Schizosaccharomyces pombe: one gene and its partner. The protein of the gene in region 1 purifies or fractionates together with the protein of each later gene. This does not show direct contact. Each region holds a gene or a part of one and is shown in the gene's direction. Other genes may lie near its edges.

Region 1 (6,540 bases):
ATTCCGATATGGACAACTACCCTCGTCCTTCTCACGCTGATTATACCTACTTGGAGAAATACGGTGTCAAGGCATCTTCGGGTGGTGGTCGATCCAGTGCCCGTGAAACCATTGGACGAGTCGCGGCTGGTGCAATTGCTGAAAAGTATCTCTTAGAAGCTTATGGTGTCGAAATCGTTGCCTTTGTTTCCAGTGTAGGCAAAATAGCCATTCCATTGCACGAAACCGCTTCTTCCGCCATATTGGACCCAGAGGATGATACATTTGAATCTCCTATAACCGCTGAATATCTGAAATTCCTCAATAAAATTACGAGAGAGGAAGTCGATAAAACCACTGTTCGTTGTCCTCATGCTGCGACGGCCGCCAAGATGGCTGAACGTATTACTCGAGCTCGTGATAACCACGATTCCATCGGTGGTACTGTAACCTGTGTGATCCGTAATGTTCCCACCGGTCTTGGTGAACCATGTTTTGACAAACTTGAGGCCAAGCTTGCTCATGCCATGATGAGTATTCCTGCCACCAAGTCTTTTGAAATTGGCTCAGGCCGTGAAGGCTGCAAAGTTGCTGGATCCAAGCATAACGATCTTTTTTACCGAAATGCTGATACTGGCAAGCTTGGTACCTTGACCAATAACAGTGGAGGTGTCCAAGGTGGTATTTCCAATGGCGAAAACGTTTACTTCACCATTGGCTTTAAGTCTCCTGCTACCATCGGCGTAGAACAGTCAACTAGCCGTTACGATGGTAGTGACGGTGTTCTTGCTGCCAAGGGTCGTCATGATCCCTGTGTTGTTCCCCGTGCCATTCCCATCGTTGAAGCCATGGCTGCTCTTGTCGTTATGGATGCTGTCATGATTCAACAAAGTCGTATTGCCTCTCGAAACCTACTCCCCAATGCTCAATAAATTAAAAAAAGTTAAAAATAAGCTAGTTTGGGGGCAAGAATCTCACTTCAATTGAGTTAGCCTACTGGATTATCTTATTTTGATGCGCCAAAAAGAGAGGATTAGATATACCTTTTGTCTCTTAGATTACATATGTACATTTTTTTTGGAGGGTAAATTTAACACAAATTAAGGCATATTTAACAGATACTTGTCAATATAGTGTGTAAGATTATAAATGAATATTTTTAAAAAAAGTAAAAAATTTAATACACAAGAAAAACTAAAGAAGTGTTGCAAAGAGTATAAGACCTTCTCTTCAACTAGCAATTGATGTTTGTTTGTATGCAGATTTTTTTCATGTTTATTACACAGACACCTGCGGTACACAATCTAAATTGGTGACCAAATATAGCTTTTGCCATTCTCTTTTAATCTTGCCATTGATTTTTCTCTCATCTAAGTATTCATACTTACACACTGTGTATGCAATTATGATATATTATACCGGCAGTTTGGTCATGTTGCAAAAAATTTTTTTTGCTAATGCCGTTTATCGGCACATCGTCTATGCTTGTAGATGAAGTAAAGGATTATTATTATGTAAAAAAAAAAATCTTTGGATTTATGGGTTTTACTATCAACGTTTCCATACTTGTGAGAAAAAGTGGTAGTTGTTTTAAAGTAATATTTTGAATAATCGAAATTTGTTATAGAATATTTCTGATGTTCCACACATTTTACGTACCAAAAAACCTCTGTAAGAAAATAGTATTCTATTATGAAGCCTTCTTCTCAGGCGTACTTCTCGTTAGTCCCACCTATGATGAAATAGCAACCATCCCGTCTACTATCTGGAAAAGGAGGATTACGTATAGTAGTGTAATACGGAATAGTGAAAGGTACTTCGCAAAAATGATCATTCCAAAAGTGCTCATCGTCATCCCTCACCAGGTGTCGTGCTACGGTATAGATGTACCTAACCTTTTCCAACCACCAGTATAACGTAGGCTTGATTTTAAACAAGATATTAATCAATTTTGGAGATTGAGGACTACTAAAAATCTACAAGTCTTAAAGAAGAAATAAATTTCAGAGTCATTTAGCTTGGTAGCTTTACGACTATAGCCCCGCCGAAATACGAGTTGCCTAGTCCCCGATAGAGGAAAAGCTCGATTAGTAAATCCGGTAATTCATGTACTTATTGACTATTGAAGCTATTTAAGAGGACTCGAGGAACACTTCCTGATGGGATCAGTGAATAATGAAGAAAAAACTTTAATTGAGCCACAACGTCTTTTACGGAAAAATACTTGGCATCCAGAGGTAGACGATAGCGAAGTTCCTCCTTCTGTCTTTCCTGAATATCCCGTCCACAAGGCCATCCAGAAAACGTCCGATTCATTTCGTAAACGGAACTACAGCGCGGGAGATTATGTAATAGCCCCGTTGGGCGGAGAACGTGAAGGAAGTTCGTTAACTCACTCATGGACTTTTCAACCTGGTAAGCATAACCAGCGTCTTTATTCTGATAATTTTCAAGAGGCTCAGCGCCAGTGGAAGCGCCTGCAAGAATGGGGCGAGGTGAAGGAAACAAAAAAGATAAGAAAGCGGTTTGATCGGTTTTCGGGTCGTAAATACATTAACCACTATGAGATTATAAAAGAACTAGGACGTGGTATGCACGGTAAAGTCAAGCTTGGCCGTGATACCGTTACCCGCGAACTGTTGGCGATCAAGATCATCCCGAAGACGGAACGTCGTCCGAAACTGGGCCGAGCCAATGCTTCCAGTCAAAAGGAAAAAGTTCGTCGCGAAATTGCCATCTTAAAGAAATGTGTCCATCCTAATGTCGTCCGCTTGCGCGAGGTCATTGACGATCCATCCTCAACGAAGGTGTATCTTGTTTTAGAGTACATGAGTGGTGGGGAAGTGCCATGGACAGATTGTGACTCCCCCGTACTCTCGATTAGCGAGGCAAGACAATACTTTCGCGATGTTGTCTTGGGTCTAGAGTATTTACATTACCAAGGCATTATTCATCGAGATATTAAACCCGCCAACCTTCTCCTTAACTCTTCTAATTGTGTCAAAATATCTGATTTTGGTGTTTCGTACATTGCCAACGCTGGCCTGAATGAAGACAACGACGTTGAGCTTGCAAAAACTGTCGGCACTCCTGCTTTTTTCGCCCCTGAATTGTGCTGGACCGATTTGGATCGCCCAAGGCCTAAGATTTCTGAAGCAATAGACGTATGGGCTTTAGGCGTTACTTTGTTTTGCCTTTTGTTTGGTCGTTGTCCATTTAATGCTAGCATGGAGTATGAGCTTTTTGACAAAATCGTCAATGAGCGTCTGAACATCCCTTCTACACCCGACATTGGTGAAGAGGGTCGAGATTTGCTTAAAAGATTATTATGCAAAGATCCTGAACAACGTATAACACTTGTAGAAGTAAAACTTCACCCATGGACATTGGATGGCTTGAAGGATCCTGAAAAATGGTTGCAAAACACTGATCCCAGTACCGTCAGTCGTGTTGAGGTTTCTACAGACGAAGTTGCTTCTGCAATCAGCCTTGTGGGTCGTCTTCGCAGAAAACTTGGTAAGCTGTTTCGTTTCCGCCGTCCAAAAGCGCGAGTGTTTGATTCTTCCTCCTCTGTTCCTTCCGACTCTTCCATTTGTCGGCCTGAGAGCTCTGGTAATTCTTCAATTGGTTTATCCGCGTCCGAGTTGTCCGATTCTTTTAATCGGCTTGCGGTGAATGAGTCTCAGAAGGATCGTGAAAGAAAGCAAGTACATCCTGTCGAAATGGGTCGTAATAGTTCTGAGAAAAAGCCTAGATGTGACTTTGGCTGGGACTATGAGGCATTTCCCAATGACAATCAAGATGCTGATGATGCTTGCAGCTATAATACCGGCGACTCTATTCCACAAGTCTCCAAATCCATTAACGGTCATTTCGAAACGTATAGTCGCACGTCGATGGATACGGATGATGTAGCCTCTTTCGAATCTCCAAATGCGAAGCATGAGGAAAGTGGAATGCCTGTCGTTACTTTTCGTAATTATGAGAATTATGATGCTAATCCGTCCAATTTTCATCCAGTGGTTCCTGGTTTTGTATCATCACCTAACCTTCATTTAGCCGGGGGCTCTGACACACCTATCTACTGCATTGAGCATTCCTTCACACCAACTAATTGAGTGCTGTATGAACATTTCCCAATTTTATTCAATTGTTTTTTTTTTGCAATGTAGGTTGCATGTGTCTTTTAATTACTCATTTCTTATTCTTGGCTTTTTACCTAGTGTTCAATAACACTTTGTCATTCGTTTTCATCAAATCATGTCATTCGGACCTTTTAGATTTTTATTTGTCCTATATGTTTGCCCCATCTCAAGAGAAGCCTTTTTTTTTCCTTTTTCTAAATAAGACGCTTAGGTTCCAAGTCTTTTGGAAAAAAGGTGACTTTATTGATGATTCTTGCGCATTCCACTCGTTTTACTCGTTTATTTTAAAATGTTTTATTATCTAATGTGCCTTTTGTTTACCTCGTATATCGTGATTTTTTTTCCTATGAGCAAAAAAAATTTACTGATTAGACGTTGAAACTGGTTTTTTTGATGAATTCTTCTTATTCCTGGCATAGGAAATAAATATCATTTTATTATTTTTTTATGACCTAGTTTGTAATTTCTTCTATGTGCTGTTGTGATACAAATCTATTGAATATAGGTGAAGTGGGGCAACTTTTGTATGGTGTGATTTAGAAGACAGACAGCAATATTGCTACCATTTGAGAAATTTTATCTTCTAAAGCCTACAAATTGGACGTATGAAGAATTTTTATAAACTAATATTTTGTAAGGGAAAATCTTCATTTTCCTCGTTTGGACTTATTCGTGAAGCAGATGATGCTTCGTCTTCGAACCACAGATGATCTCCGTATGAAATACAGAGTTCCTCATTTGTTTTTATCTCTCGTAATGTGTAATATGAGATGTAGTTATTGCGATTGTCTTTTTTCCAATACACGTTTGGATGACGGTCGTGATTGAACATACTTCCAAGTCCTAGAGCTAATCCTTGTTTGCCTTCGCTCCAAACATATGTGTATTCGTTAAGAACTGTATACTGTCCATGTTGTTCATATTCTTCTTTGCTGAACATCAATACAGGACTAATCTCAATGCATGTTTGTGCTGGAATAGGCTCAAGAGCAAATACTCCTCGGCCTTTTCGTTCTGTATCACGAATCTAAAGCGTTAGTAAACTTATAATTAGACACAATCGTTCAGTCTGTCGACTGATTTTACTAAAGAAAAGAAAAGAATGTGAAATGTTTTCTTTTATATAAATGATTATGAATCATGCTGTGAATCGTTGATCCGTAACATTACCCTTTCGATTATACAACAACAACAATCTTCGACATTTGCTTTTTCTACTGTCTGACTCAACTCATAGCAAAATTCACACAAATAAATATAAATGAATCGAAACACAAAAAAGTTAATTTAAAGTGACTTTTAACTTTCTTCTATCTTCTAGCTATCCTACAATACCTTACCTCAAGCGGACTACGAATAACAGGAATCCGCATTACAAAATCAATTTGACAACTGTCTTAATGATCGGTGTGCTTCACTTCTTACACCTTTTGTGAATTACTTAATTTTAGATGTTTCGTGTCTTTATAGATGAGCCAGGGAGTTGATTTCTTTGGGCTCACGTTTGATGTCTTTCTTTTTTCATATATTAAATTAGTAATTTCTAATAGAAATAAACCAAACAAGGAACTTATTTCACATATACGAATGGCAAAAATAGTTAGTAAGTTAATAGGAAAAAATTTATTTTTCCCAAATAAGGCAGCTATAAGACTCCTTAAACCTATTGTGGTGATACTTCGGGTCATGGTACGTTGCTATATTCACTTTAGTAGATAAAAGGTTATAGTGCGCTATGTTTTTCTATCGAACATTTTGCTGCATAAACAGTCGCAAGTTACCGTTTTCCATTTAGTGTATGGAGGATGCTTTTTGAGGTATTGGCGATCTGTAGTTAAATTGGCATTTGAACAGGTTGGAAAGTGCGTAGGAATAGTTATACTGTTAGCGTTGAAGTGCCCAATTCCTTACGAAAAAAGTTTCGCACGATTTATGTGGAATCGATTTGTGGCATATTTAGTAAGTTTATTCTTCAAAAATATAATATAAGCTACAAAACAAGTTATCTTTTCCTTAATTATTGCATATGCGATTGCGATCATTTACGATGCTTTAAGTTGCGAGTGGAATGGAAAGTATCGCAGATCATTTCTTTCTCGCAGGTCTCTCTAACGGATTTGTGAGTGTATCCAATTCTCAATTTCGAGCAGATAGACTTGATGAAGACGCCATATCTGTTTCTAGTTCTATCATCCAAAACAATACAAGGAAGTCGCCATTAAAAAGAGTGTCAATCACTTCTGAGTCTTCTTTTTATAAAGAAAATACCTTTGCGCATCACAACACCACTGGATCCAATTCTGTGGGTCCAAAGAAGCCGTTTTTAGATTATCATCACTCAACATCTAACACACCGACCAAGAAAAAAAAGGATTCATTTGACCATGCCTCCGTTACGTCCTTACATCGTCGTAGC
Region 2 (4,864 bases), on another chromosome or scaffold:
TTGCAGATTACCGTGAAAGGATGTGTATCAACGTATCATTCTCGACTGTGAATCTAGGGAAATGTTGAGAGAATAAAAAAAAATAACAAATCAAAATTGCCGAGTCTTAGGAATGTCATAATTTATTTTCTCTCAAAAGGTTTATTGTGCGACATGGAGCCGGCATCTAATTTACAGTCACTTATACGATGTCAAGTCACAACAAGCAACTATGGTAGCAAGAGAGTAGTTACTTCACATTCCCATGAGAATAGAACAGTCCAAAATCCTTCTCACACATTCCTTTTCGCTTACACGAATTTCAATTTTTATTATTTATATTTTTTTTATCTTCGAACGATGTGAGTAAAATGCGTGTGAATTCGGCAATATACGACGCTGGAAATAAATTAGTAAACTGCCCTTGACTGATCACGATAGTTATATGGAAGAAATTGTTTCGACTATCCTAACTTAATTCCTATTATTTTCAGAAAAGGGTTTAATTTTTCCAATCTTCCAGTTCAGTTTGCATACCGAACGGTACACAATCTTACCCTGTCAAAAACCCCCTTTTTCAATTTAAAAAAATGACGTCACACACTGCATCAATAGCTATATAAGAAGCCTGAGTACCTAACTATTCAAATTTTTAATTTTAATTTAAACGCATTGGTAGTATGAAATAGAACGAAATAAGTCATAGAGGATGAGATAGAATTAATTCATAACAAATTAAACTATGAAAATCGTTAGAAATTGAAATTTATTAATATCGACATCTGTCCTTATAATAATTAATTAGTTTCCACGGTCTTTTCTTGAAAATTATTCTGCGTTTTGTCGAACTAGAATAATGCACGAAAGATTAACTCATCGTTGCTTTTAATTAGATAGCAAGAATGTAAAACAATGGAATTTGCTACTCGACACGAAAATTCAAAAATTTTCGAATACTATCAAATCATCTTATATCCATTACACTTGTTGAAGGGTGGCGGGCGGTAAAATCCTCGTATCCGTTCATCTTTTTGCTTCGGCAGTATATGCTGCCTAATAAATTTTAGCGTTCGGTAAACTGAGGTTCCTAAAATAAACTACGGTTTACGTGCATGAATGGAACATACTTGGAACCGAAATTGCTGAAGTGGCTGTTTTGTGCGGATGCCGGTTGTCAGGTCAATTCCGTGCAGAACATTCTGCTCGGTACCTGGTAGTTGTTAATTTCAAAGACCGACAATAGGAGAGGTGAGGGGAATTTTGTAGGATGGCGGCATTTCCGTTCGCCGAGTTTAATGGAAGTGGAAGCATGCATGCTTTGTTGATGTCTATTTTGTCAAAGAAATCTTATCACCCAACATCCTATCGGGTTGGAGGATATCGGAACCAACTTATCCGGGTGTTCTGTGTGTGGGCATGCATTGAGCTACACAGCATCAATCCGTGGTATTCTGGAATGTATACTTTTGAAACCGGCCGATTACTGGTTTTAAAACAACGACATCGCGTGCTTTCCATGGAATTGAAAAAACCAAACAGCTCGACGATTAAACCGTGTTTTACTTGGGCCAATTCTGTATTGTATAATGACATACTGATTTTTATTTTCGCAAATTTCATTTTGAATGCATACCGTATTGAGTTCTCTGCAGTATGAGTTTGTCTCTTAACTACAATTTTGTCTCAATTAGTAATGTCAACGTTATTAACTTAAGATTTCCGAGTGGGTCTAACGAGGGTATTACCACTTTTGCAACTTTTTTATGAACTGATACCCCTTTAGTATAATTGTCTGTTTTTGCAGTTGTCCGCTAGTGCTAATTCTTTTACTTTAAAGTGCAAATCTTAAACCAAATTGACCCATTACTTTCCCTCAGTTTTCTAACACCGCGTTACCTTAATCCTGAAATAGAAAATTTTAATTGTTAATATTTTTTTACTATTTTTTTATATTTCCTTATTGGATTCATATCAGTTACAAAGCAAATTGGACGGTTTACTTATAAACATAGTGTTTTGCATTTCCGATTTCTTCCTGTTTTGCTATTTTGTTTTGAAATAAGATTAAGCAGGTGGTGAATGTGCCGGTTGCCAGGGAACGTCAACACCAAAGCTTTTGATCTTAATTATTAATTTTTTTTCTATAACAAAGCCACCAATCTGACAAACTGGTAGTTTACTATATATATTGCTCCATTGCATACTGAATTATCTGTGTGTGTAAACCACCGGTACTCAGTTTTCTTAATTCTAATTGCAACCGCATTCGGACTTCATTAATTTGCATAAAGCAGCGATTAAGACTTACTTTATCATTCATTGCTTTCCTTTTCTCTCATATTTTGAACGCAAGGAAATCACAAGATGGCATTTGGGAGCAAAATTTTAAACATTGGATCTAAGTCTGATGAGTATAACGACGATGCAGTACCTCTCGACCAAGTCGAAGAGGGTGCGCAAGAGCGTCGCTATTACTTGGGGTTGACAAAGCGCGAATTTAAACTTATGATGCTTGCAGGTGTCGGGTTTTTCCTTGACAGTTACGATCTTTTTATCATCAATTTAGTTACTCCCATTTTTGAATATCTTTATTGGGGTGGTATTGAAAAAGGTCCCACAGGAAAAGGCCATTATCCCTCTGGTATTCGTGGTCTTGTAAATGCGTCAGCCAATATTGGTAACATTTTTGGACAACTGTTATTTGGTTTTATGGGTGATTTCTTTGGCCGTAAATTTGTCTACGGTAAAGAAATGGTTATTGTTATCATCGCTACTGTTCTGGTTATCGCTATGCCTAAAAGCATTCATTCTCCTCTTTCGAAAATGATGTGGGTTTTCTGTTGGCGTTGGTTGCTCGGTGTAGGTATTGGTGGTGATTATCCAATGTCTGCCGCTATCACTTCTGAGCGTAGTAAAATTAAACGACGTGGTACACTTATTTCTTTAATTTTTGCCTTCCAAGGTTTCGGAACTCTTGCTGGTGCCATTGTTACCATCATCCTTTTGGGTTGTTTCGAACATCCATTGAATCGGGAAGGTCATTATCATAAACTCGAAGGTGTCTGGCGTCTTCAATTTGGTCTTGCTTTGGTTCCTGCTATTGGTGTTCTTATTCCCCGTCTCATCATGAAAGAATCTAAATCATACGAGAATTCTAAAGCACTTAATAGTGCTGAAGGAAAAGATCCAAAGGCATTCTTCAATACCGATGATGAGGACAATATGAAGAAGTCATCTAGCCATGGTGACTCCGAGGTTGTCGAAGCTTCTGATCGTTATGCTAATCAAGCAGATGCTGCTGACGCTGAAGTTGATAACATTGAAAAACAATTTGCCGCAGTTACAACCCCTGAAAACAGCAGTGGATTTATCACTTACTTCAGACAATGGCGTCATTTTAAGCATCTTTTGGGTACATCTGTTTGTTGGTTTCTGTTGGATATTGCCTTTTACGGTGTCAATCTTAATCAATCTGTCATTCTCAAGAATATTGGCTTCAGTACTGGTACGAACGAATACCGCACATTGATGAAAAACGCAATTGGCAACTTGATTATCGCTGTTGCCGGCTATGTTCCTGGATACTGGTTCAACGTCTTCCTTGTTGAAATTCTTGGACGTAAATGGATTCAACTACAAGGCTTCGTGATTACTGGTTTGATGTTTGCAATTTTGGCAGGACGTTGGAACGAAATTTCCACTGGTGGTCGATTTGCTTGTTTTGTTATTGCCCAACTGTTTTCTAACTTTGGTCCCAACTCCACCACTTTTATTTATCCCGCTGAGGTTTTCCCTGCACGCGTACGTGGTACTGCTCATGGTGTTTCAGCTGCTTTGGGTAAATGTGGCGCTATTCTTGCATCACTTCTTTTTAACTTTTTGACCGGTGTTATTGGATATGGTAACGTTATGTGGATTTTCTGCGGATGCATGTGGGGTGGCATTCTTTTCACACTTTTGCTTCCTGAAACAAAGGGTCGTGATGCTGATGAAATTGATAGGTTGGAATTATTTTATGGCAAGGACGGCAAAGTTCAATGTGATAGCAAGTGGAAGAGCTGGTATTTTAATGGAATCTTTTAATTAAATCATAATGCCGCATACTTTGCTTTTTTTCTTGGTACATATAATTTTATAATACTTAAAACATGATTCCCTTCGTCTTTTGAAAAGTTTAATATACCTTGGTTACTGCTTCTGTTACCAGGTTTGGCCAAATATTTAGTTTTGTTCGTTTGCTTTAATAAAAGGGGACAGTTTTCGGTTAGTTTGTGTTTATTCAGCGATAATTAATAAAAATTTTAAAATTGACGAAATAACGCTCTCTATGCTTTTTCTCGCTATAGACTTTATTAGTATAACCTAGCTAACTAAGGTAGGCGTTGCTAAGGTAAAGCAGTCACGATTATTGTGACGTGCTAATTAGCAAAAAGGTATATATAGCATAGCCCCCCTAATGAACTATTCTTTTACAAAATTTGGGAATGTGAATTTACTCTACTTTGTGTTAAATTATTAATAGTCAAGGAAAACTAGGCATGCAAAAGAAAAGCCTTATGTTAAATTTTAAATGTTAAATTACAATTAGATTCATAGTTTGGCTTGCTATACCTTAGAAAGTTATTTTATAGAGCATGCGCGAATTTAAATTTATGGTACGAGTGTTTTCATTGATTAACTGTTTGTTGCTTTCTTTCTACTTATTATCTCCATTTGGATAAGAAAGCATAAGCATTCGTTTTATACAAATCAGAGTGACATATAGTCTACTTAAATTTACAATTGATTAGACTTTGATAAATGTAACTGAAAATTTTTGTTCATATCGAAGGTCAGCGTCTAAAATTTTTAGCATGTTGACTGAATTCTTTAAACCTTTTGAGTT

What was found.
Region 2: the proteins of ssp1 (region 1) and pho84 purify together in Schizosaccharomyces pombe (affinity purification with mass spectrometry, with the first as the bait; one study listed by BioGRID). This does not show direct contact.

Annotation. Positions count from the first base shown.
Region 1 is NC_003421.2:1,876,576-1,883,115, forward strand, and holds ssp1 (calcium/calmodulin-dependent (CaMKK) protein kinase Ssp1), read left to right. Parts: upstream 1-1,871; 5' UTR 1,872-2,138; coding exon 2,139-4,097; 3' UTR 4,098-4,740; coding exon of another isoform or gene 4,741-5,151; 3' UTR 5,152-5,464; coding exon of another isoform or gene 5,465-5,497; 3' UTR 5,498-5,735; downstream 5,736-6,540. Other genes in the region: aro2 (chorismate synthase), read left to right, coding at 1-911; histone lysine methyltransferase Set7, read right to left, coding at 4,741-5,151, 5,465-5,497; SPOM_SPCC297.05 (diacylglycerol-binding protein), read left to right, coding at 6,193-6,540. UniProt on the Schizosaccharomyces pombe protein: Involved in actin localization and thus in polarized cell growth.
Region 2 is NC_003423.3:4,441,909-4,446,772, forward strand, and holds pho84 (inorganic phosphate transporter), read left to right. Parts: upstream 1-2,192; 5' UTR 2,193-2,343; coding exon 2,344-4,062; 3' UTR 4,063-4,292; downstream 4,293-4,864. UniProt on the Schizosaccharomyces pombe protein: High-affinity transporter for external inorganic phosphate.